2 linked regions of the Struthio camelus genome follow. Each later gene encodes a partner of the first gene's protein in a complex. Links are inferred from orthologs where the notes say so. Each region holds a gene or a part of one and is shown on either strand. Other genes may lie near its edges.

What was found.
Region 2: HEATR3 (region 1) and RRS1 share a complex: the UniProt entries of both Homo sapiens proteins name them as parts of the hexameric 5S RNP precursor complex. The link is inferred for Struthio camelus from reciprocal best matches to the Homo sapiens genes HEATR3 and RRS1.

What each region holds. Positions count from the first base shown.
Region 1 is NC_090951.1:16,814,013-16,827,231, reverse strand, and holds the start of HEATR3 (HEAT repeat-containing protein 3), read right to left. Parts: upstream 6,909-13,219; 5' UTR 6,903-6,908; coding exon 6,768-6,902; intron 6,614-6,767; exon of another isoform or gene 6,478-6,613; intron 6,214-6,477; exon of another isoform or gene 5,822-6,213; intron 5,646-5,821; coding exon 5,473-5,645; intron 4,698-5,472; coding exon 4,610-4,697; intron 3,510-4,609; coding exon 3,397-3,509; intron 1,538-3,396; coding exon 1,428-1,537; intron 645-1,427; coding exon 504-644; intron 1-503. Other genes in the region: CNEP1R1 (nuclear envelope phosphatase-regulatory subunit 1), read right to left, coding at 8,610-8,651, 8,937-8,991, 9,128-9,237, 10,019-10,092, 11,524-11,595, 13,024-13,048. UniProt on the Homo sapiens protein: Plays a role in ribosome biogenesis and in nuclear import of the 60S ribosomal protein L5/large ribosomal subunit protein uL18 (RPL5). Required for proper erythrocyte maturation.
Region 2 is NC_090943.1:132,523,113-132,534,778, reverse strand, and holds RRS1 (ribosome biogenesis regulatory protein homolog), read left to right. Parts: upstream 1-6,314; 5' UTR 6,315-6,397; coding exon 6,398-7,477; 3' UTR 7,478-7,644; downstream 7,645-11,666. Other genes in the region: ADHFE1 (hydroxyacid-oxoacid transhydrogenase, mitochondrial), read left to right, coding at 9,800-9,861, 10,934-10,971. UniProt on the Homo sapiens protein: Involved in ribosomal large subunit assembly. May regulate the localization of the 5S RNP/5S ribonucleoprotein particle to the nucleolus.

The sequences.
Region 1 (13,219 bases):
TAAGGATTCTCAAAATTAAATGGACTTCTTATACTCCAGAACCAAAAATGAGCCTGGCTGATCATCTGAGGTAGAAAGAGGCATGCTAGGTAGAGAGCCTGAGGTAATAAGCCTATGCTTGGTAAGATCAAGACAGTTCCTATACTATTTATTACTGACTCATTTTACTGGCGAAAATTGAATGAACAGTTTTTAAAAAAAAAAAAAAAAAGTATCCTGCTAAACAGGCACTGAATTCAGAATCAAGTTTTTGAGACAGTTTTAAAACTAGTTTCAGATATTTGGGGTATCTTTCACTCCAAGAGAGAGGAAAACAAAATCCCAAGAGGCAAAAATAACTTTATGAACAATCTGTCCAGGCATAGCTTATAGCTTGTGTTAGGACAGCATCGTGATTAGATGTCAAGATGATAACAGAGTAAAAGGTTAAACCTTCTGCCCCTGCCTCGCTTCCTGTGCTATCCGTCACAAAACAAATGAATCCCCTAAATTTAATGCTGTACCTGCTATCAGTGTTCTCAAAAGGATATGCTTCATTGAGCTCTCCGGACACAACATAACAGTTTCCAATACTTGTTGTGTGGAGGAATTGAATGAAGAAAGAAGTTCAGGATTGTCCTCTGTCACTGCCTGTAAGCAGTTTGCTGTAGCAAATAAAAAAAAATTAATTAACAAACCCAATGGTAGCTTTCACTCTCCTAATGAGAAAGCACTATCTTCCTGAAAGCTGGGATAATGAAACACAAACACAGGGAAAACACAGCTTGATACAATATCATATTGTAATGATATGACACTGGCCTTTACAAATTGTGTTTTATGTTAAGACAAAGTCCTCCGGCAGAACCGCATGTAAAACAGGTGAGGACAGTACCATGTCAGGCATGGGATTGCTCATATTAATTTCAGCTTCTCAAATTTCAATTTCTCCACTGGATACTGACTTGGAAAAACAGCAAAAAGTGTTGCAAGTAAAAATGCCAGTAAGACCATTATAAGACGATCGTGGCAATACTAATAATAAAAGTATGTTCAAGGTGAAAGGAGCTGTTTCTTCTTTTTTTTTTTTTAAATTATGTCCTTTGCTCTACAAAAAAAAAAATCTGCATTACAAAAAACAGAAAACCAAACAGAAGAACAGCCTCCCTCAATGCACTTTCTTTCCATAAAACTTTTCCTCCCATGTAACCACCAAATATGCCATTCCCCTTTAAACTGAAAACAAGCACAACAGATGTCAACTTCTGAATGATCTACTGTTCAGATAAGAAATTTAAAATTTTATATGCAGTGTGAACTTTAAGCAACACTAAGCCAGGTGCGTTATTCAATGGATGTGACATCAGTGTTACATTCATATAATAAAGAAAATTTTACATATATATATATATATCTTTAGATCCTTAGCTTCTCTTTTTGTCACTTACCAACTGAAATAGCCAGATCTACATTTGTGGAAAATTTCTTCATATAATGTAATACAGCCTCCAGACACCCTTCTTTATTGAATATGGATACTGCTGTATTGTTGCATTCACTAACACAGAAAAGAGATTAATAAAACACTTTTCCCAGGAAAAATATACTGTAATAAAACTTCAAGTAACATGTACTCAGCATTTCTAGCATTTGTATTTTAAAAATCCACCTAAGAATTACACATTAGTCCCAGAGCTATCTTTCATTATTGAGCTTATAGTGAACTCTTCATAAGAGTGGTGAGAGGCTAGAATACCCTGGACACCTTTGGGCAAAGCTGGCTTCTGCCAGCTACTTCTTCACACTTGCTTCTGGAGTTTAATAGCCTAAACACAGTCTCATGCAAACAGACAAACCAGCACGAGCGTAAAAGGCAATGCAGCTTATAGCCGTAAGCCAGACCTGGGCTTTCGGCAGCAGTCAAACCCTTCATCTACAAAGCCACTGAGAGCAGAGAACAACGAGCAGTTGCCTTTCACATCTAAGTAGTCATAAGAGTCTAAGAACTCTAGAAAACTCGTTTCTACTTGACATACAAAAGTGCACACTTTTGTAGACAAACAATATAAAATGTGCCATTTAATTGGGTAACTAGCTGGATTTGTATTTCTTCATATTTTTACAGCTATTTCCATTTTTATGCCAGAACATTAATATGAGACAAACTCAGAATAAAAAAAAGCATAGGACCTAACTAGCTATGCGGGTCTTCAAAGATTTTTTAAAATGTTATTGCTCAGCATCAATGCCAGCTCAAATTTTATCAGTACCAAACTTAGCAATGATGCCAGTGGTTCACTGTCATTGCCACAGCGTTCAAAATACAGAAGTGATTTATAGCACACTTAAAGATCATGGTCCTGCTCCAAAGCACTTCTGTCTGCAAAAGCAATAAAGAAATGAACACAAAAACGGATAGTTGAGTCACAGTTGCAACAAGGGGTCATATATTCTGTACAAGGTGCCAAGCAAGCAGTTTCTGTACTGTTCTAGATTTCAGTCACGAAAAAAACAGATTTAGAAACAAGGCCTCAAACCAGCAGCCGTTCCATACAGGCAGACATATAGGCAGCTCCCCTGAAGTACTGTACACCGTAAGACAAACTCTATATGGACCAAAGCGTGTAATGACATAGAACTGTAACAATACCGAATCGAAATCAACAGCAAGAAAATAAAGTTCAAGGACTACTTTTAATACACGCTTGCACTGCTTCAATGTTTATAGCTCTATTGGTATTAACAGTGTTGCTATTTCTCTTAGTTCCATAAGTAATTAACATTAGAAACACTGAGCAAACAATTCACATTTTTTGTCACATAATGAAGTGGACTTGTGCTAGTGCCCAAGTCACTAAGGAGTAGTTAGTCCAAACACTTGATATAAACTTAATATAAGAGACCTGCACAGAGATGAAGAAGTGAAGAACTCCTCATATTCCCAGAGCAATGCAGTCCACTGATCAGAAATTAATTTGTTCTATCTCCCATATTACAATAAGGATCTACAGGAACTACATGCAAGACCACAGAACCCCAACTGTACAAGTGTCTTCAAAGAGACGTTGACAGAACACTCTCAGAAAACAACATCAGAATTCAGGATGAGCAATCAATGGAGATAAAATTACCACACTCCTTAAACAAATGACCAACTTGGTGCACTTTTAAAATCCTTCACTTACAAAAGCAATCTACAGGGGAAGATAACAAATATATTTCAGATCAGATGAGGACTCACTATTTATTATACAAAACACGCATAGGAGCAACACGATCAGAAATGAGAATCGGCAACTGAATAATCTTCCCCTGCAAGGAGAGCTACTTCCCTTCTGCCTCAATTACCATGTAAAACTTTTTTAGGGGCAATCTAATTTAGCTCTTCTAAGAGGCCAAGGTTAACACAGAACTTACCACACATTCCACAGCAAGTTAATAGCCTCGTTGGCTATGTCTTCAACATAATTTTTGTTCATTTCTCTGCGTTTCTTTGGAGAGAGCTGATTAGCATCTAGTCCAGCGCTACACTACAACCAAATAAAAAAACTGGGGTTGGGAAACAAACAAGCCAAGAGAAAAAACAAAAGCCTAAAAAACTTTCAAAGCAGAAGAAATTTTGAGATCTCTCATCAAGTGTTTAATAGCAGCAAACCTGACTGTTTTCCTCTTCTCCAGGGCCACAATGGAATCGAATCATCGATTTCTTTCCCTGGTAGAAACAGACTCTCTTACAGTACTTGTTCTGCATTCAACAGTCTCCTGAAGCTTTTTTTTTTTTGTTTTGTTTTGGCTAAACAAATACTTAGCAAGCTTAGAACTGAAACGCTACTTCTTGTTAGTATAGTTTTTCATGCAATTTGCAATAGTTCTAATCACAGAGACTAATTCAGCTATGTATCTTGCTATGCTTCACAACAGTGCTACTACCTGTATTTTATAATGGGGAAGAAGCATACAGACAATGGTGGTACTGCTCAAGGCTGCTCATATGAAGAGCAAGGAGAGAGAACTCAATGCAATTCCTAAACTGCACCTGGACAAAACAAAGAATTCAGTGCAGATTATACAACAGCAGTAACTACCCAACTGTAAATGAAAGCATTGATTTAGACAACACTCTTTACAACAACAAAAAAGTCACCAGAAAAAAAATGATGCAACCTAAATGTTCGATCCGAACACTGCCTGACAGAATAGGCTGGTCTTGAATAAGATTCAAGACTAAGAATCTCCAGACCATTTATGCAAAAATCATCTTAAGCAGCAAACATCATCACTGACCCAACCCAGGAGGCCAGGAGACAGAAACAAATGTTTGCTTGAAACCTCTAGCATCACTTCAGTACTATTTTTCAAGAAGTTGCACAGCAAGAGTTGCAGCAATGTAAGTTCACTAACAAATCCTAACGATATAATGATGATAAGATATATTCTATGAATCCACCTGGCTGGCATTCAAAGTGTATGGCATTTACACTCCTAAAGGTAAAGGAACGCTATTTAATCTACCAAAAGGTTCCTTTAAAGACCTTACCTTGAGAATAGCTACAAAAGTAGAACTATTTTTGAGAAGAGGATAATTCAATAACTAAATCAATTTTTTAAATCTGAGCAAAAACAAACACACCTCTTTCAGAAGTGCGACAAGGGGTGTCATGATGTCTTTTGTCACCATGTCATCACAGACTTCAAATCCTCCACAAGCACTGAGATTTCTGGGAAAGATGAAACACTTTGGATCAGATACAGTACCATCTATGAATGTTTCAAAAAAAAAAAAAAATCATGCATTTATTATTGCTTCTCTTAAGGTTATGATCCATTTTAAAACAAAATGTATCTGCTTAATCAGTAACTTTAGCCTTCCACCTTTCTAACCAAAAATAAGTTTGGTTTCAGAAAACAAAACAGATTTCACTTACCCACTTCTCTGAACTACAACATGACTTCTGTCAGCTAATTACTCAACGAGTATAAGACGCATCACAAATTAGCTCTATTTCTGAAGCAAATGCTAACACATTTTTGTACATGTTGGTCTGAATGCAGAACAGCAACTCAAAACAATGCTATCAAATATTCAGAAATTTTGGGGAAAAACTAGGTATTCGCATCGTCTAATCCATCGTTCCTGTCATGTTATCGAGACAGGAAATACCACAGCAACAGCACTCAAGTGCTCTCTGTTGCTTCATACAACAGGGTTTTCCTAACATAAGCACAGGTTACAACGCGTTCCACCGCAAGGAGGTAAAACGGTGGTAGCTACCTCAAACCCTGTTCCTGCTCCGAAAGCCTGGTGGCACCCTGCTGGAACGAGACAGACCTCTCTTTTGTGGATCTCAATATGGCGAGTCATGCGCACTTAATCACAACAGAGATAAAACAAGAGACTGACATTCCAGTTCATGAACTCTAACAGCAGAAACCCACTCTTATTTACCATGCCCAGAGCACCTCCTTCTAACTCTGAATATTGTAACTGCTTACCGGAGAGCCCCTGCTGCTGTCTCACGCACAGCTAAACTGTGATCTAGCAACATAGGCCCCAAACACCGGACAACATCTCTCTGCAAAAACGCTGGGATTACATGCTTCTGCTGCAACAGTTTGGAAATACTGGCACAGGCGTACTCTCTCACTTCAGCACTTGGATGCTGTAGCTGCAGAGACACAAACAAGGCAGAATTGGGGAGGAGAATGAAGCTGGAAGGTTTTACCGAGTGAAAAAAAAATGATCTGCCTTTTGCTTTGCAGACCACAGCACTGTAGCTCCTATTTTATCACTCCTTAATAGAATCAAGAGCTTTTAATCTCCATGAAGATTTTAATTCTTTACCTGGGTTGTGTGTGTTAACTACATGACTGGATGCATCTTATTCTGGGTGTTGAACAAGAGAGCCATTGTTTAGATACAGACTTGACACTAGCAAGACCTCGTTCCTAGTTTTGATGATCATGCTAAAAAGAACATATACACACAAGTGGGGAAAAATACCATCAAACAGGTGTAACGGACATAAGAAACGGTACTGATAAAGAAAGACTGAAGAATTAAAAAAAAAAAAAAGGCAAAGACATAATAGTCCTCACTATAAAAACACCTGTATAGAGAAGAACACCTGCAACAGAAATTTAGGTTTGATATTAGAATTGCTAACCAGAAAAATAATAAGACAGCAGAACTGACTACACAGGTGGTTATGGAATTTCCCTTATAGAAGAGGGGTAACAGAGAAGGTGAATATCTGCCGAAGAGAGTGGGAAGGAGTGGTAAACCAGCTCCTGCCCCACTGGAAACACGGAGAGAAGCCTCAGTACCTCCCCACTCCTGCACACTTCTGTTTCTACACTTACTTTTTGACTTTAAAAAGTTAGTCTGGAAGAATAATGAAGCAGTGACTTGCTCAATCAGTTCAGTTAAGTGAACAAAGAATTAAGAAATAATTAAAAGGAAGGAATACTTAAAGGAAAACAGAGATTTTTACTTGATACCAACGTAACACGTGCACATGAGGGCTTAAAGTGTAATTTTCATCAGCAATGCTTAATCCCAAAACAGAGGAGCACGGTGAGCAAGTGGCTACGTCCAGTCTTTTTCAACACGGCATTTTCTATCAGTAATTTCCTCCGTGGGGGGTCCGGGCTCGTTGTCCCCTCTGCCTGTCCGCCGGAAAACCGCGGCAGCCTGCAGCGGCAGCCGCTGCCGCCGGCACCACCAGCACCACCAGCAGCAGCAGCAGCACCCCGCCCCGCCGCCGCCAGGCCGCGGCCGGCCGACTCACCTTCTCCAGCAGCTCCGCAGCCGGCTCGTCCGCGGCGCCGTCCTGGGGGCCGCGCCGCCGCCCGCCGCCCGCGGGGGGCTCGCCGGCGGGCGAGAAGGGCGCTCGGCGGAACCGCCGCGCCCTGCTCTTCCCCATGGCCCCGCGCCCGGGCCGCCGCCGCCGCCGCCGCACACACGTGGCCGCCCGCGCAGGCGCCGCGCCGCCCAGCGCCGCACCGCCCAGCGCCGCGCCGCCGCCTCCCGGCCGCGCCGCCTCCCGGCCCGCAGCTCCCAAGGCTTCTGCCCTGCCCAGATGTCTCCCCACGTCCGGGCAAGGCAACCGCGGAAGGAAAGAGCGTTTCCTGCGCGCCCCCAGAAGACAGGGCCGACCTGTACCACGGAGGGCTGGCTGGACCGCCGTCTCTCTCCCGCCGCGCTACCTCACATTATCACAATCGCTTCCAGGGACCGACCTGCCTTCCCTACGTGCAATGTTACGGGCTTCACTTAGCAACTTCTGAAGTGTCCTGGGCTCGTTTCACATCTGCATTTGCACAGTACGAAAGAAAACGTCTGTTTATAGGACGACTTTATTTTATACACATTTACCTACAAAATATACAGCAGCTAAAAATAATGGAAGGGCAGGAGAAAGAATTACTGGAAATAATAGAAGATCGTTTTTAATGTCTCAACTGACTTTAAAAGGAATAAAAAAAAGGAATATTGGTTAAGCCAATAGGTTCCCTTTAAGGGGCAGTCTTGCTTGTAGTTATGGGTTATTAAACTTGCAGTGGCTTTGCAGTCTTAGTCAATTAAAGGAGCTTGAAACAATTAAAAAGGCACCTTGAACACTTAAACTCTTTAAACTATTTACAGTGCTAACTATTCAAGAAGTTACACTTTACGCATATAACATGCGCATCTTGTTTTTAATACTTGAAATAAATTCTGTTATTTTGTGGCACTCTCCATAATTCACCAAATAATTTGTATCTGAAGTTATTTCCAATACTAGTCTCATATTCTGACTATCACAGACTAAAAATCCACTCAATAGTCTTGGGGAATTAAGGTACAGTACAATCTTACAATCTGGAGGATGCAAGCATATTCAAGACAATTTAAAAATATTAAAATCTGATTAAAACAGCAGTGTCGTGAACCAGATCAAACAATGAGCTATGTATAACCACAGTGAAAGTGTCTGGTGCACTATAGGTACAGTTTGACAAATGAGATCCTCTGTCTATTTGTAAAGTTCTTAGACAACACGACCAGTTTTCTCCAGCACAGGCAGACAGGCAGCCTTTCTGCAAGCCTTTTAGCCAGTTCCAAAAATAGTGACCAGGAAACACGGACAGCTGTAATGAGTAAGTGTGCTAACAAAAAGTCATGGAAATGGTAAGTGATCCTTACAATACTGTTCAGGAGAACAACAACAACAACAACAAAAATCCATACAGCAAAATATTACTCTTTTTCTCTGAACATTGGCATTGATCTGCTATTTACAATAGTTTACAAAGACACATAACACAAATGAGGTTTGATTTTCAAGTTCAACTTTCTAACCAGTTAACATACTTCACCTGCATGCTTTGTTCTAGCTGAAGTAAAAAAGTGACACTAACACTGAAAAAAGAGGTAATCAGAAGTAGCAAGAGCACTGATAATATGGTAACAAAGAATTTGGATAAATATTCAAGAAAGTAATATTGCACACTTTCACTGTCAACTGTATAAGACTTTTGCTCCTAGGCAATGACAACCAGTCCTGTTTGGTTTTTGCTGTCATACTACCTGGAAAAAAAGGTCATTTTTGGTTTCCATGGCAGTGGAAAAAACTGAAGGAAGATGACCCTTATTGAACATGAGGCCTAGGTTTCAGAATTAGTTTTCCAGTCTGCAAAACAGAAAAGGAAAATAAAGTTTAGACCCTGAAAATTTTGTCTAACAATAATACTTTGAGTTCAATACTACAGGCTAAGCTTAAAATGACACACGGAACAATACTGAGTATTCTACATTCCACTTACACAGACACATTTTTTGTTAAAGTCTGTGTATGTGTGCGTGTATATACACACATAGGCGTTTACACACTGTACAGAGAAAAAGACTTGTGCATTTTTTTATTTATTTACATCTTTTTTAAAAAACGTTTAGGCAATGAGCTGCGAACACTTACATCATCACAGGACATGTTATATTCTGCCAAAACAGTTCGACATCGGGCTGCTATACTGCATGGCTTGCATCAAGGAAAATAGCTAACACTTCTACACACTCTAAGTCAAAACAGAAAAAGCAACTTTGACAGAGGCTTCAATAACAGCAGTCACTACCACATTTAACCTGACAAAGACGATCGAAGGATACATTGATGGTGCCACCACTCTTTTATGTATTCCAGCAAAGAACAAGCCTATTAGGGTAATACAGCTAATTGTGAAAAACGGATGGTTCCAAAGTGATGTGAAAAATGACACCTAGGAAAGAAGTCAGATTAGTTCCAGGATAGACTTTCTAAAATATACAGAAAGTTGGTGTCTAGTCACTTGATTCAAAGCATATTGCTCTTAAACATGTCTGTGTACTTGTGAACAATTCTTTAGAGAAGCGGTCTATTAGTAGCATTTTTCCAGGCATTGTCCCAATATGTACTCCATAACAGTTCCAGAGAGCTTGAGAACTTAACTGAAAACATTCTCCCACTTTCACAGAATGCTTTAATTAAAACAGACAACGGAACGAAATATTTTTTAAGAACCAGATCAGATTATACATCTACTACCGAAACCTAATGGTCTTCTACCTAAAGTTTATCCATTTGACAATGACTGCTTTGGGCGACTTTGCAGATAAAATTGAGGCTCCTAGACAAAAACAAAAAACGACATCGCACAGTGGTCTATGACATTGGTTTGCCTGTGTTATTCTCAATTTAGTTTTTATTATTCACAATCACGTCACGTGAGCTTTATAAGCTATCTAAGGGTTGGTCTCCAGTGCTGTTGTCCTAGAAATACTGCCCCAGAAATCAGAACAAATGCTGCTGCCTCATGGTTTTGACTACACTTTAGATAGCACCTACGTGGCTCTATCCTTGCCATGTTAAGTGCCCAGGTACAAAACCCATCTTTAGCCTTGCGATCTTCAAGATACTGTAACATCTGACTATAGCACTGGACTTACTGTACAGATTACTACAATTCTACTGCAACACCAAGTTCGGAAACAGATTACATTCAGGATCAGCATGATCTTTACCTTTTGCGTCTCAGGGTCTATTAACCAGTTCCAAGCACCAGTTGCCGTGCAGACGGATACCACTATCAGAATCACTGATAAAGAAAAGAACGAGAGTCATAAGCAGCATAACTCCCTCATAGCAAAAGGCATTTATCCTTCATTAGAAACTTTAAGCGTTTATTTCTTCTCCCACTTCTGAAGGGGGAACAACCTCTGCTTGGAAGGTAGAGATGAAAACAGGCAAAGAAAATTTCTGTTCTAAACAGCAAAGATTCTGTATAAGTTTCCAGGACAGGACAAACAGGTACCAAAAACTAAGTTCTGCCAAGTGAAAACATCCCAATGCTTCAAAGAAATGAAAGTTTCTAAAATAACAGAGCTAGTAAAAAAATATACAAGCTGGAAGACTGGAATAAGAGTTGCACCAAACGTTCTTCTTCAGTCTGAAATTTGAGCTCGTATATTCTGGGCCACAGAAATGCAAAGCCATTACATTTCAGAGCAGAACTAAAGCTTCTGTCCTGATCGCTGTTCAATATAGGAAAAGCCTGAAGAATTAGCACCAACAGTTTAAGTTGAACATCTACAGTCTTTTATGCTTTCTCCATCAACACACTTATTAACAAAGAAAGCTGACAGAGAACAAAACAACATTTAAACAACAGTTACAAGGTATGTTATCATTAGCACATAAAGACTAACAAAAACTTCTACGCATCCTGAATGGCTAGGAAGAATAATCAGTTCACTATCAATGAAAAATGCTAGAGATAAATAGAGTAACACAAGATACCAGACTGACCTAGAGACTTGAGGTGGGGGACAGTGCAAAGAGGAAGGCAAAAGAAACAAACAAAAAAAAATCAGAAAAATACATAAAGGTACAGAAAGCTTAAATACCTATAAAACCTTACAACTTTCGTTGCAAGTTTGGCGGCTCTTAGTGTTTTTCACAAAGCCTGAAGTTTTGCATAGAGGTAAAATGTTTTACTAGGGCAAATGAAGAAAAAAAAGGAAAAGAACAAATAGGAAAGCCAAAATCCAGATTTCAGCCTTCAAACACATGGAATCTTGATCTCGCTTTTCAAACTCTGGCTAGAATATTAGTTTTAAACAACATATCTGCAAGGACAACTATACAAGCCACTTTTCACATCATGAGACATAAAATAACTCCTTTAATTTTTTGCAAGCTTTTCAAACGGTCAAATTTATGTTTAGCCGGTGGTGGGAATGCTCATTGGGACCCACTACATTGCTTCCAGACAACAACCAGGCAAGTATTAACAACGCTTGTCATGCTGCTTTGCCATTGTTTACTAGCCTGTTTTATTTTAGCTCTAAGTTAACACATTAGAAGCTTCCTGCAGTATGTATGTGCCTGTGCACATGCCAAAGAAACTGTAAAAAGATTTTAAGCACGAATTTTTGTTAGGGTAAACATAAACGAAAGGCATACATGAAAAATGAAAAACACTTATCAAAGAGACAATCTTATTCATCCCTTAGAACATTAAACTTACTTCTCCAACGTCCTGTAGCTGGTTGTAAACATGCAATATATTCAGTAAGTCTTCTTTCAAAGGCTTTGAGATCTGAGGAGAACGTATATCAGGCACGATTAGATCTTCATGTGTTTAGCCCAGCTTTAGTGTAAAAGTTGCAAGGAATTCACTTGCTCCATTATGCACACCCATCTCAAACAGAAAGAAAGTGAGAAAACCAACTCTCTGATCATTCAAATGACATAAAGGTAAAGTCAGAGCAGCTTTGCACAAATCCAGCTAGAGAGTGTAATGATGAAGTTGCACTAAATGCAAGAAACAGTCCTACTTATGAAAGAAAAAATATATATAATGACAGAATCCAAAGACGTCATACATCACTTGTTCTTTAATAATACCTAGACGTAGATTTAGAATAGCTTAAATAGCCCCTCCGCAACGGGAAACATGTCATACTTCTGAGTATTAAGTATATCAGGAAGCTATTAAAGTTCTATTAACTACACACTGGTGAAAAAGAGTTTCATTGTTTGCAAGCTGTTCAAGGGATTATTTGCAGCAGCGTGGCCTTGATGACTTTGCTATTTACCACAAACCTGGTATGCCACCTGCCATTAGAAATAAATTAAAAAAAGAAAACCACACACAGCAGACACCAGGCCAAAGATCTTCCACTTTTGTTTTTTCTCCTTCAAACAAATCTCTGCATAGGGCTTTTTTTTTTCCTCTTATTGGTATCATTTTTTAAGACCTTCCTATTTAAATTGCTGCTAATTCCAAGCAGCATTTCAAGTTCATCGTCCTAATTCATTTACAACATTAGCCAACCACGTTTGTCTACAAGGAGCTGTTTTATCTGCGTTAGATCTAAGCATCTGCTTAATGAGGTCAATATTTGACAATATGCTGGTGAAAGCTAAAATTCTACCTGGATTAAAGCTTTTATTGGCATAAAAATACAGGCCTTCAAATCAAGTGCTTCAGTTAGCGCAACTGTTGGAAATGTTTTCTTTCAGCTCCTAACTATTGCCAAATTATTTAAACTACCTTCACAAATCAATTAGAGGAGATTAGAAGACATATATCTATTACAACGGTCACTGAGCCAGTTTTCCACATTTTAACTTTATTCCTAACGGGTTTGCAGGTGAATTCAGAGGGGAAAACCGCAGCACCTTGACCTTACCCACACCGCAGCTAACTACCTTTCACTGCTGCCAGCAGCCCGGCAGTCAGGGCCAGGAGCCGGGGCTGTCGGCTCCCTCCGCTCCTGCGCCCGCCGCGCCGAGGCGTTTAAGCCTCTGCCGGGGTTTTTTGGACACTGAAGCACCGCTCAGGCCCTCGGCACCCTGCCCCGCAGCCGAGCCCGCGGCCCTGCGCTGCGCGCCGCGGGGCCCCGTCCCGGCACGAAGGGCGGAGCAGGGCAGCGCCGCGGGTGCCGGGGCCTCACGGGCCGCCTCGCCCCGCGGAGCGCGCTGGGGCAGCCCGGCACCCTCCGCCCGCGGCCGCCCCACTCACCCTCGGCCTGCTCCAGCGAGTTCATGGCGGCCGCAGGGGGCGGGCGGGCACCCAGCACCGCCCGCCCGCCGCTGGCCCCGCCCCGCCTCCCTCAACAACGCCGCGCCCCACTGGCCAACCCGCCCCCTCAACACGCCCCTCCCCAGCAAGCGCAGCTCTCACTGGCTGCCGCGGGCAAGGGGGCGGGGGCGGCCGG
Region 2 (11,666 bases), on another chromosome or scaffold:
CACTGGGTAATGACGTATAGTCACAGCCTTAGGTTTTATGACATTTAAAATGAAAAATATTTGTTTAACAGAAATTGTCCTAATTTATTCGGAACCACAACACACATCCCAGGTACAAGCACGTACAAGTTTATAGATGATTCTTGTCTTACATGAGTCACTTGTGGTTACATGTGGATGAAAACCTGCCTAATATCTTGGATTGAACCTTTAAAGTGCTGTTTTACTGTGTGCAAAAAGATTTAAACACAGATTTTTTTTTTTCAATTGATAACTGTCAACTGAAAAGGTATTAGTGAGATCCTGAAGTGACTGCAACTGATGTAATTGAAGCATCACATTTGAAGCACAGCACTTAGTAGCTTTACTTGGACACCTACAGGGTACATTATCAAAGTAGCTTGTGGGAGGCATAGTCGCACACACAAATGCTTTTGTTGCTTGTTGGCAGGACCTGCACGTATGCTCCCCACTGCCGATCCTACCACCTTCAACGTGCATTTCATAACACTGATGTCAAAGGTAGCTTTAAGAATGTAGTAGTTTGAAAACACACTGAGCACAAAACTCCATCCTGACTGATCAGCCTTCACGATGAATGAAAATGTGGAGGATAAAAGGAGATAAACTGGGTATGGGGAACCATTTCCTTGCTGAGTGCCAGGTAGTGCCAAGGCTTTGAATACAGCTTTGGAAAGCAGCATCTCAGCATCCATCACCATGCCACCCGCTGAGGATGGGGAGAAGATTCAAGAGGTTCTGGGCTGTATGAAAGGATGCTCGGATCTATACTTAGCCCAAAGTTGCAGATTCCCTAAGGCTGGTATAAGTCCCTGAAAAATGTGATCCTAAACGCAGTGCATTGTTTTGCTTTGGCATCAGGTCTCATCCTTTTTTCTTTGGTAAAAATCATCATTCAAAACTCTTCCACACATGTGAATGCAAGAGAGGCTTAATAACATGCACGTGATATTTGTACATGTACATAAAAGGCTGAGATTTTCTATTGGAAATACGGCCCAAGCTTTTTTTTTAAACTAAAGGACGCTTCTGGAAAACGGATTGCCTCTGACTCACAAAAGCATTAGAATATAGGAGCTGACGCAGTCATTGTTGGCAAACATACAGGAATTTATCCTAATCTCAAATTCATGTATTGAACCCACAGCTCCATTTGATTTCCCTTGTGTCCTTCTGTCAGCAAAAATCAGCAGGGACTATGGCACATCCTCAGTGTCATAGATGAATACTTATCCATGCTTCTTCTCACTTCCAACACCGGTGAAATTCCCAGCCAGGAACCCAACTCAAGAACAGATGAACCATTTTCGTTCCTCTGGCTGTGAGTGTAGACTTAATCTAGGGCAAATCTCTGCATGACAGATTTCTTTGTAAAAGAAGGCAACATGTTCAATAGCTTTTTTTTTAAACTTGTGTAAGTAATCTCATGCCAAGGTATAGCTCTGCTCTGGAAAGGTGACAAGCGATACTGACCCTGGAAAAAGAGTATGTTACTACATTGCCATTCTTTCCGTCACTGCCTTATAAAGGCTTCACTCCATTCTTTGCATTCTCCTAAAAAGACTTCTAACAAGACCAAGCCACACCATTGTTGATATTTTCAGTATTAAGGCCACGCTACAAGAAAACTTTCTCAAAAAAAAGGTCATCGTAAAGCTCATAAAATAGCAAAACATATCACCATCTGTTTTCAGCCTGATTCCCCAGTGCACAGCCAGATAGGCATCGTGCGCTTGGGAAGGCCTCAGATTAGCTTAGTTTACGTTTTGTTTACCCAAAATGAGTTCAGTGAAACCACACAGTCATAGCCAGTTAACTGATCAAAATAAATTACAGTCTACCAATCACCTTCCACAAGGTCTGTAGTCTTCCAGATCTGAATGCTGTCTCCCCAGCTATCTATGTTTTGGCTTCTGAACCAGAAATCAGACCCTACTCAGTATTTGCTTGTAATTGCATTTCCAGTTACTTAGTTCTAGGGTTTGGAACTATAGCTACAGCCTCCTGAGTTTCATCTTCAGGGTTTTTTTCTCAAATACAGAATTCTGCTAATACTGCAATAAATGTTGTCTAACCCTGCTCATCTACAACTCAGTCAGGAAAGTTTTTAAGCATGTGAGCAGAGTTAACATCATTAACATCAATGGAACAATCCACATGCTCAAAAATAAGTATATCCTTTAATGCGTTGTTAGGTTAAGGGCTTGCTTCAGTGAAGCCATGAGAAGGAATTACCTGCTGTCTGTAATACCTGCAGCCATAGTTCTTTCTTAAACAGCAAAAGCCATAACTAATAGGCATATTTGTTATATACTGCTGAAGTCAATGCCTGTAGTCATTAAAAGACTGTAGCACAAGCCTTTTTTATTTGTTTACTCCTGGCAGATAGTTTGTTCACAGCGAATAGGAACAGTGAATAGGAAAGCGTTTTCCATTAGCCAAATTATTTACCTACTAAGCTTTATTATTTGTACTGCAAAAACACCTGTATAGGACATAGATGTATGTTGTAACACTTTGGGATAAAAATGTATGGGGAATTTGTCCACAAGCTGTAGTACTAATTTTTACTTAATTTAGCTTCAGTGAGCAAACAGCTTTTTCCTTACTGGAAGAAATCCTACAATGTAGATTTTACTTCAAAGTGTTCTGAACAAAATCAGTGAAAAGGAATGATTTGGAGACAGTGTGGGTATTTTAAGGGCACTTTCTACTATTTTCCAAAATTACCAGCACTTTGGGTTTTCCTGATAGAAGTGTTCTTCATAATGATCCTCACAGCAGGCTTAAGAATGGATTGAATCATCTTCTAACTATATCTACTGCCATCCAGAGGTAATTGGCAAAAGTTTGAAGAGTAAATCTAAGCTAATGGTATCACAAAAGGTGAGACATGAATAGGGAATATTAGAACAATTCCTATTTTATACAGACTTAAAGTTGTAGCCCAGCCTAACAGAAACTAAAAAAAAAAATTTTTCTAATAGAAGAAGAAAAAAAAGAAACGTTACATCACTTTGACATTGTAGTTCATTTTGTGCATTAAATATATCCTGCATCATGCTTTCTATTCATCTTTTGGACAAGTATTTCTGCAAATTACATTACAAATTATATCTTAGGTTTTTCATGCAGAGTACGTGCTTTTCAAAAACCATTATGCAACCTTTGGTATTAAAGCAGCTCTTGAATCTAGCATGAGCGGTGGGCTTTTGATTGAAAACTGAGAGCGCTCATAATCTGAAGGATCACATCCCAGACTTTCAGATGTGACTAGCTAACATTGTTTAGGTGTCCAGATGTCAAGCAGTAGCCATATTTAAAAATCAGGCTTCATGTATGAGAACAGGATAGGATTTTCAGAGGAACCTGAAACTATTAACTCTAATTGATATTTCCAGGGTTCTTAAATCTACCGTGTCTCTTTAAAATTGAAGCTATAGTGATTCGGAAAGAATTGCAATGCAAAAGCACAACAAATTGTATTAAAAAGGATAATAGCACTCTTCATGCCAATGTACCCTCTATGTTCATCCTGGGGTTTTGTATCAGACCTATCATGTACTGAGGAACTAAGAAAAACGTATTGATCTGAAACATCCCCGTAACTTCAGGTAAGGAAAGCTGTGCAGCCACATGCATACTTCTGTACTACATCCTCAGGAGTGTGCATCATCCTTGAGGGTGCTAACTGCAATAAAAGCAATTACAGCTTTCTACCCCCAAGAAAGCCTGCACGTTGCCACAGCATCCAATTTCTGCCTGAGTTTCTCACAGTTCCGAGAGTTAGGAAACGCTAAGGAAGTAAGCATACGCACACACTCATGTGCGCATGCACACACACACAAGTTACAGATTACTATAATTCATGGTGAAGAGAGAGAGAAAACCAAAGGAAAGAGAGGGTAAGGCTGAAACTGTGCAAGTATCTATGAACTATAATGCCTCCAATCAGGGAAAACTCCCTTCAAGCGCCATGGCTGAGCACTCACAAATCCAGCCACAAGCACTTAGAGAAATGTGATACTTGAGATTCTGAAACTAGGAACCTAGAAGTGGAGAGGACCAAAATGAACAAACATTTCTAAAAATTCACCCTTAAAAAATCTGCTGCAAAAGCCTGTTAATAAAGCTTACACACATGCCTATTCACTTCAGGGAAGCTCTGTGCCTGCTTGTAATTCTCAGCTACAAACTGAGAGTTATAAATTCTAAGCATGACTAGGATTATTAAAGCGACCATCTCAGAAGCTGCTTCTCACCATCAGATAATTTCCTAAAATATGATTCCATTTACAAATTCTGTTTGGTTTACAAATCCACTCATATATTCCAACTGCCATCTTACCAAGCACATTCTGAAATCTCAACTCAATAATATCCTGTCAGCAGTAATGGTTTTGTAGTCAGATTTGAACAGCAGGCAATATTGCGCTGAGTAAACCTGGAGGAGGGTAGAAGCTTGTTTGCATTTTAATTTTTAACTTAGAAGCTCCATGCTATCGTGTGAAACATGAAGACCAATTCCTGGCATGCATTCCTTCTGTTATTCTGTCGATACAAAGTAATCATTAAATATCAAGCCAATTTTGTAAGTGTAATAAATTTTATCAATTATGTCCCTTCAATCCGAGTCATTTACCTGAAGACTGTTGGGCTTTGTACAAATATAAACCAAAAGAGCCCAAAGAGCTAGCTATCTAAGGATAAGATAGGACAGTACAGCGACCAAGGTATCAACCGACTGCCCCAACAGTGCCCCTTGCTTATGCAGTATAAAAGTATAAATATATGCCTGAACTTATTTGTGTCAAAAATAGTATATGTACATCTCTGAAAACTGTCTTTAATTTAATCTATAATTTCAGGTGAAAGTATGAGCTGTCCAGGAAAGTGAAGAAAGTAGTATGCAATGCAATGCCATCTTGTGGTAAACGGGAAAACTGTCTATGGCATCTAATTAGGTTTTAAATGCATAGGGAATTTGCTGCTCTGTAGTGCTTGAATCACACTCAGACCTGTTGGGTTGAAAAAAAAAACAAAAAAAAAAGATTCTATCATAATTATAATTATACAGTATAAGATGTGATATGCTAGGCAACAGATTCCAGGAATCAGTTTACAGGAGCAACATTTTATTTTCATTCTAAAAATACAGCTGTGACATTATACTCAGAATCATTTCCATCACCCCAGACACAAGTTAAGGGAGGGGACGTGTTTAACTCAGTAGCAAATTCTATCCAGTATAATAATTCCCGTGACTTTTTGTTGGCTGCAGCGAAGTCCTGTCATGAGCTTGTTTTTAGGGCACCAAAGATCAGCTCAAAACGTCATGACCATACGAGCCAAATCACTGCATGCTCTATTGCTGTAAAAGGATTCTGCCGTATCTCATTTGTTTAAAAATAGCACGGCAGTATCTTTGACCTGGCTGACTTTTTTGGTGCATGCGGTATCACCCGACGACCTCACTCATCGTGCCTGACGAGCCGTCTGAGGGGTGCTGCGGCTCTCCCCGCGCACCTCCTCTCCCCTTGGTGTCACAGGGCGGCCGGCGGCGGTCGCGAGGGAAGCAGCCTCGGCGCTGGGGTTGGGATCAGGCCACTCATTGCCTGGCCTAAGCTTTAGCAGTGACTTTGACACCTAAACGTTACGCTGCAATAAAAACAGAAAGGATATTTCCCCATGTCTCAGCCTTAACCTGCCGGATATTTGAGTGCTACCGCGCAACCCCTTACGCAGCAGCAGAAGGCGGCGAGGCCCAGTTTGCGTTCTGGGTGCTCTGCGTGCCCTGCTTTGGCCTCGTCTCCCTGCTGCAGGCAGCGAACGCGCTTTCGGCGTTGGCCTTCCTGTACACGCCAGCTCTCTTCACGCCCCTCCTGCCCCAGCCCCGCTCGCCAGCTGGGCCGAACCGGCCCAGGCAGCGTCTACCCCCAGCTAGCCAAGGGCAACCCGCGCCTGGCAACTTCACTGGGGATTTTTTGCGGGGAGGGCTGGACCACAAGTCATGTTGATCATTAAATAAGTGGGAGAAGAGCTGGAGACTTTCTGACAGGAGCAACGGGCCGCCCCGACGCAGCCCCACGGCCTGCGCGGAGACTACGGCTCCCAGAATGCAGCGCTGCCTCCTGCCCCTCCCAGAATGCCGCGCGCCGCCGCGGGCTGAGCGCCGGGCCAGCGCGCACTACAGCTCCCAGAAGACAATGCGCGCGGCCCGCCCCGCCCCGCCCCGCCCCTCCCTTTGTGGTTCCGCGCTCCCTTCTGACGTGCTTCCGGCGCGCTGACCCGGAACGGAGCTGGGTCACTTCCGGAGCCGGGCGGCGCGAGCTGTCCGCACGTGTCGGCGCGGCCCGGCCCGCTCCGCTCCGCCGCCATGGCGGCCGTGCGCGTGGAGGAGCTGCTGGCCGCGGCGGAGGAGCAGGAGGCGGAGAAGCAGCGGAGCATCGCGGTGCACAAGGAGCTGGAGCTGGAGTTCGACCTGGGCAACCTGCTGGCGCTGGACCGCAACCCGCCGGCGGCGGCGGGGCTGCGCGGGGCCGGCCCGCGGCGGGAGGCGCTGCTGCGGGCCCTGGCCCGCGACAACACGCAGCTGCTGGTGGCGCAGCTGTGGGCGCTGCCGGCCGAGCGCGCCGGCGGCGCGGCGGGGCCGCTGGTGGCGCAGCTGCCGGAGCCGGCCTTCCGCCTGCCGCGCGAGAAGCCGCCGCCGCGGCCGCGGCCGCCCACGCGCTGGGAGCAGTTCGCGCGGCTGAAGGGCATCCGCCGGCGGAAGCGCACCTCGCTGGTGTGGGACGAGCAGGCCAAGGAGTGGCGGCGGCGCTGGGGCTACCGGCGGGCGGGCGGCGACCCGGCCCGCGACTGGGCGGCGGAGGTGCCGGCGGGCGCCGACCCGGACGAGGACCAGTTGGCCAAGCGGCGGCGGGAGAAGCGGGAGCGCGTGGCGCGCAATGAGCTCAACCGCCTGCGCAACCTGGCGCGCGCCCACCGCGCCGCCGTGCCCGCTGCCCCGCTCCACCCCACGGGCCACCAGAGCCGCGCTGAGCTGGGCCACGCTGCCCGCGTCGCCCGCCTCTCCACCGCCTCGCTCGGCCGCTTTCAGCCGCGGCTGCCCAAGGAGCCAGCGGAGCCGCCTCCCCGTGGCGCCAAGAAGCGCCGTTTCGCGCCGCTGCTGGGTGACCTGGCGGCCGAGCGGAGCCAGCAGCTGGAGCTGCTGCGTGGCATGAGCAGCAAGAAGCCGCCCCTCGACATCACTCGTGCCGTCAACAAGCAGCTCCGCGAGGAGGATGCCGAGGCGGCTGCCGCCAAGGGCAAGAAGCGGGCGCAGCGGGGGAAGCGCGGTCGCCGGCAGCAGCAGCGGCCCGGCCACGGTGGCAAGAAGAGCGGCAGCAAGAAGAGTGGCGGCAAGCGGCAGCAGCGCCCTGTGGGCAGTGGTGGTGGCAAGAGGAAGAAAGCATGAGGTGGACTGGCACCCAGAGGGACAGAGTGGCCTGCAGGGCTGAGCACGACTCAGGGCCGGGGCTGCTCACCAAGGGGCAGGAAGGGACTGCTGCTGACAGCCTCCTGCCCAGTGCTCGGCTCTCACACCTATTTGTCAATAAATATGCTCTGGTCTTTCTAAAATCAGCATTTGGCTCTTGGATAGCAGTCAAGGAGGGCAGCGTCCCTCTTCTAAGAGGAGTTGGTGGTATATCACCAGAGTCAAGTTCCCCAGTTACCCCCAGGTTAGGGGCTTTAATGGGGGCAGCCAGATAGCTCCACAGCTGGCCCTGGCTGCAGCATTTTGAGACAGACCTCAGTCCCTGTGCAGTCAAGTTGCTCTTAAGTGAGAAACACCTAAGATTGGGGCATGGAACTCAACTCAAGGGCGGTAACTGGTATGTTAAGTGCTGGTGTGATCAAAGAGAAACGCAGTTAAAGGATGAGGTACTGCCTTTTGCTTTGCGCAGTTAAAGGATGAGGTACTGCCTTTTGCTTTGTGCTGCGGGTAGGTAGCCTGACTGTGGAGCTCCTGCTTTGCAAGTCATTGTCAACTCAGTGGTATTCAGGCTCGGTTGTGAGAGGAGGGGCATGAAAGCTATTCCTGTAAGACTTATTGCAGGGCCTGAGAGGTTACAAAGATTTTATAAACCTCTGCTGATTTAAAAAAAAAAAAAAAAAAAAAAGCTGTTGACCTGCCTTGAATTCAGCAGATAAATGTTCACATCACACAACAGGGAAAAACTCCCAAATTTCTACCTGTACTATCTCCTGAGAGTAAGTCATCATTTTTATAAAAATAGCTTCATAGTGTTTTTTCTTTACCAAAGTGTTTGCAAACAGATATTAGATATGATCTAAGACTTGTTTATAACCGTTTTAAATATAGTGTTTCCTGTACCCTTGAAATGAAAAAAATAAAATTTGCTGTTCTATTATGTGACTTAGCTACAAGAAGGAGGATGGTCTCCTTCTCTGAAGCCAGTTCCTGCTATGAGGATAGTAAAGTAGGTTCTCAAACTTTCAAGTAGTTAAGACTGTTATCATAGCACTCTATTGCAAATGTGTTCCTGGAAGGGCTGAATAACTCTAAAGCAATTAATCTTTCATCTCACAGTAAGAGCTTGCTGAGATGGCAATTGAGTGTGATTAAAAAGCCAAAGGTCCATCTGTAGAATAGTGGTCAGGCTGGAAGGAGTAGGCATTGGTACTGAAGGATTTCAGTGGCATTAATGCACTGAGTATAATGGTGAATTTCTGTCAGCTTTACATAAAATATCTATTCTTAGCCTTTTAAAAATTTCGTACTGCTGTGTCAAGTAGTTTTTACCACTGTTGTCTGCTTCTGACTGGCCGCTGGCAGCGGTGTTTGTATGGATGTCATCCCACTGAAACCAGCTGTTCAGCACAGCTAGCAAGGCAACAGAGGCGAGAAGTCCTTGGAAATGTGGAAACAGTTGTTCTGAAATAGGTTCTAGACTTCCAGTTTTCCTGCGTTTCCATAGGATATGTCTTGTTACCTGCTCAGCTAGAAAGCATTTTCTTTTTAGAGAAGTATTTTATACTGCTGACCCACATTTTACTGGTGAATTTTCTGAAGCCAAAGACTTGTCTACAGAAATGCTGATAGTTTGTGGATTTTCAGTAGTGATTATAAAATCAGTAAAGACCAATGTAAACTGCTTCATGGGTGCTCCCGGTTTCTGAAATTTATAAATAATTTCACGTTTCAAAACTTGAAGAGGTGAAGCACAAACTGATTATACACAAATTGTATAGTCATAAACTTCACCTCATCGGTGTTGCGAGTTGAGCAAGGAGGAGTGTGCTGAACAGCTAGTTTGAATATGCTTTTATTTGCTCCATGTCTTCCATGTAATTTCATAGGGCATCTAGCGCGCTGTTGCCCTCCTTCAAACAGGTATCAGTTGGATTTTGCCGGATATATCAGGCTGACCTTGCAGCGTTCATTTTGGGAGCCTGAATTAGCCTTACAGCTGTCATTTCAACCACGCGTTTTCTCCAGCAGTACTTTATAAGCAACTTTTCCGTACCATCTCCTCCTGGGAGGCCAGCTACCTACCCGTCCTGCACAAGCCCTTGCTTTCGGTAAGCTGCGCAGTCCCTGCTGAAATCCGTTTGAACTTTGGCGGCCGCGTCTACATCGGCCGTCGCCTCTGCTTATCTTCGCAGAAGACCTTTAAACCGGTGGGTACTGCCCGCTCCCCGGCGGGACGGCCGGCGGGGGAGGGCAGCGGGCGGCCCCGCCGCCGCCGCCTCCCGGCAGCCCCCGGCGGTGGCGATGGCGGCGGCGGCGGGGCGGGAGCGGGCCGCGCGCCTGCTGCGGCAGTTGCAGCGCGCCGCGTGAGTGAGGGGCGGCGCGCGGGCTCGGGGGTGGGGGGGGGCGGCCGTTGGCTGCGGCCGTTGGCGGCTCTGTGGTGAAATGGCCGCGGCGTGTGAGGCCGAGGAGTTTTTGGGGGGGACACTAGCCTTGCCTCGGCCTCCGGTCATAACGCACAAGCTTTAAAGGTGTCTTCGTGTGCTGTGTGATATTCTTTTACCCCCCACCCCCACCCCTTTCTTTAACTGCAAGGATAACCTGGATAGGAGAAAGCGGTCTGTCGGCGAGGGCTGGTTTTTGCACAGCAGAACCGGCCTGGCCGCTTGGGAGCGGCACGAGCGAGCGGTGGCGGTGCGGGGCCGAGGCCTGGCCGGCTGCGCGCTCCTCGCAGCCGTCGCCCTGCAGCCTTGTGCCAAGCATTCGCGCCGTTTTAGATACGAAAGCAGAGCGTTTTGATCTCAGACTGCGGTGAGCGGCTCTCGGTGCTTCACGGCGCTGTGGCTTTGGGCACGGCTTCCCTAACGGGGCAGGTGAACTAGCTTTGCCCTGCTCACCTTCGCTGATGCTACACCGGAGGAGAATGTTAATATGCGTAGTACTTTTTTTACACTGTTACTGTCCCATCTCCCTCCTAGCGGAGCTGTAATTTTTCGTGTCTAACACTAACCTCTCTCACCATCTGCGTGCCTTGCTCCCTTTCATCTGCCGCCAACGCAATAGGAGCGCTTCGCGCGCGCTGATTCACGTTCAGCAGCATCACTGAAGGCCGGGGCATATCACATCCACTTTACTGAAATCCTTTTCCTTTCTCCTGGGCACCTATTCAGTCTGTGTGGTCTGTGAGTCGCATACCGTAAGCACCTAGGTGTAAGTTGTACTGCAGCTGCTCATTACTCTCACAAACAGTTCTTAGGCCCTCAATATAGGCAAAGACGTTATCTACATGGAGCACTAGATGGCAGTCACCATTGTCAAAAATTTTGAGGTAAAGCATGACAAATGAATACATACAGGAGACTGCCTTTTACATGCAGGTTAATTTGCCTTCTTCAATTTTTTCTTATAACTGTGATTTTTTTTCTTCCTTTTACTCAGATGTCGGTGCCCAAGCCATAGTCACACTTATTCCCAAGGTAAGACTTAATTTGCGTCTCCGAAATAATTCTATGTGAGACCATGACCTTGTACCCAGATTTATAACCTGGGTAGAGGGAGCACATAAAAGGGAGAAAAGAAAACACTCTAAGGTAAGCAGTCTGTTATTTTCCAACTCTTCAGTAATAATGTGGAGAGATTCAGCATTTTCATGTAAGTCGCACCTAATACGTCCCTTCTCTCCCTTCATCTGTTGTAAGGCAACTTGATCAGAAAACTGCTGTGGCTGCTACTACTGATGTTATCACCTGAACCATCTTAACTTTAGATCTGCTTCTCAGGGGAAAAATGTGCATCTGTTACATTAGAAAAGAAACAGAAAGTGGTATCGGTAAACAGATATTCACAAAGACTTACTTTAGCTTGAGGAATGTAACCTCCGTAGGCTTTTTAATAGTTAATGAAGAGAATGTGGCTTACTGGGATCACGATCCCGGAGGAGGGTTGCATACAGTGACTGCGTTGCCCTCTGGAGGAATTTCTTTCTGCATTGGCTGTAGAGGGAGTCTGTGAGAGCAGCTCTTCCTGTGCTAAAGTTAGTCTCCAGATGTTCTTAATCTTTCAGTATATCCCATATGTTTCATTTTTACTACTATAAAGGTTCCTATAAGATATGGTAGGTAGAATTTCTATTAAAAAGTAATAATTTTGGCCTTAATTTCAGTAATAAGTG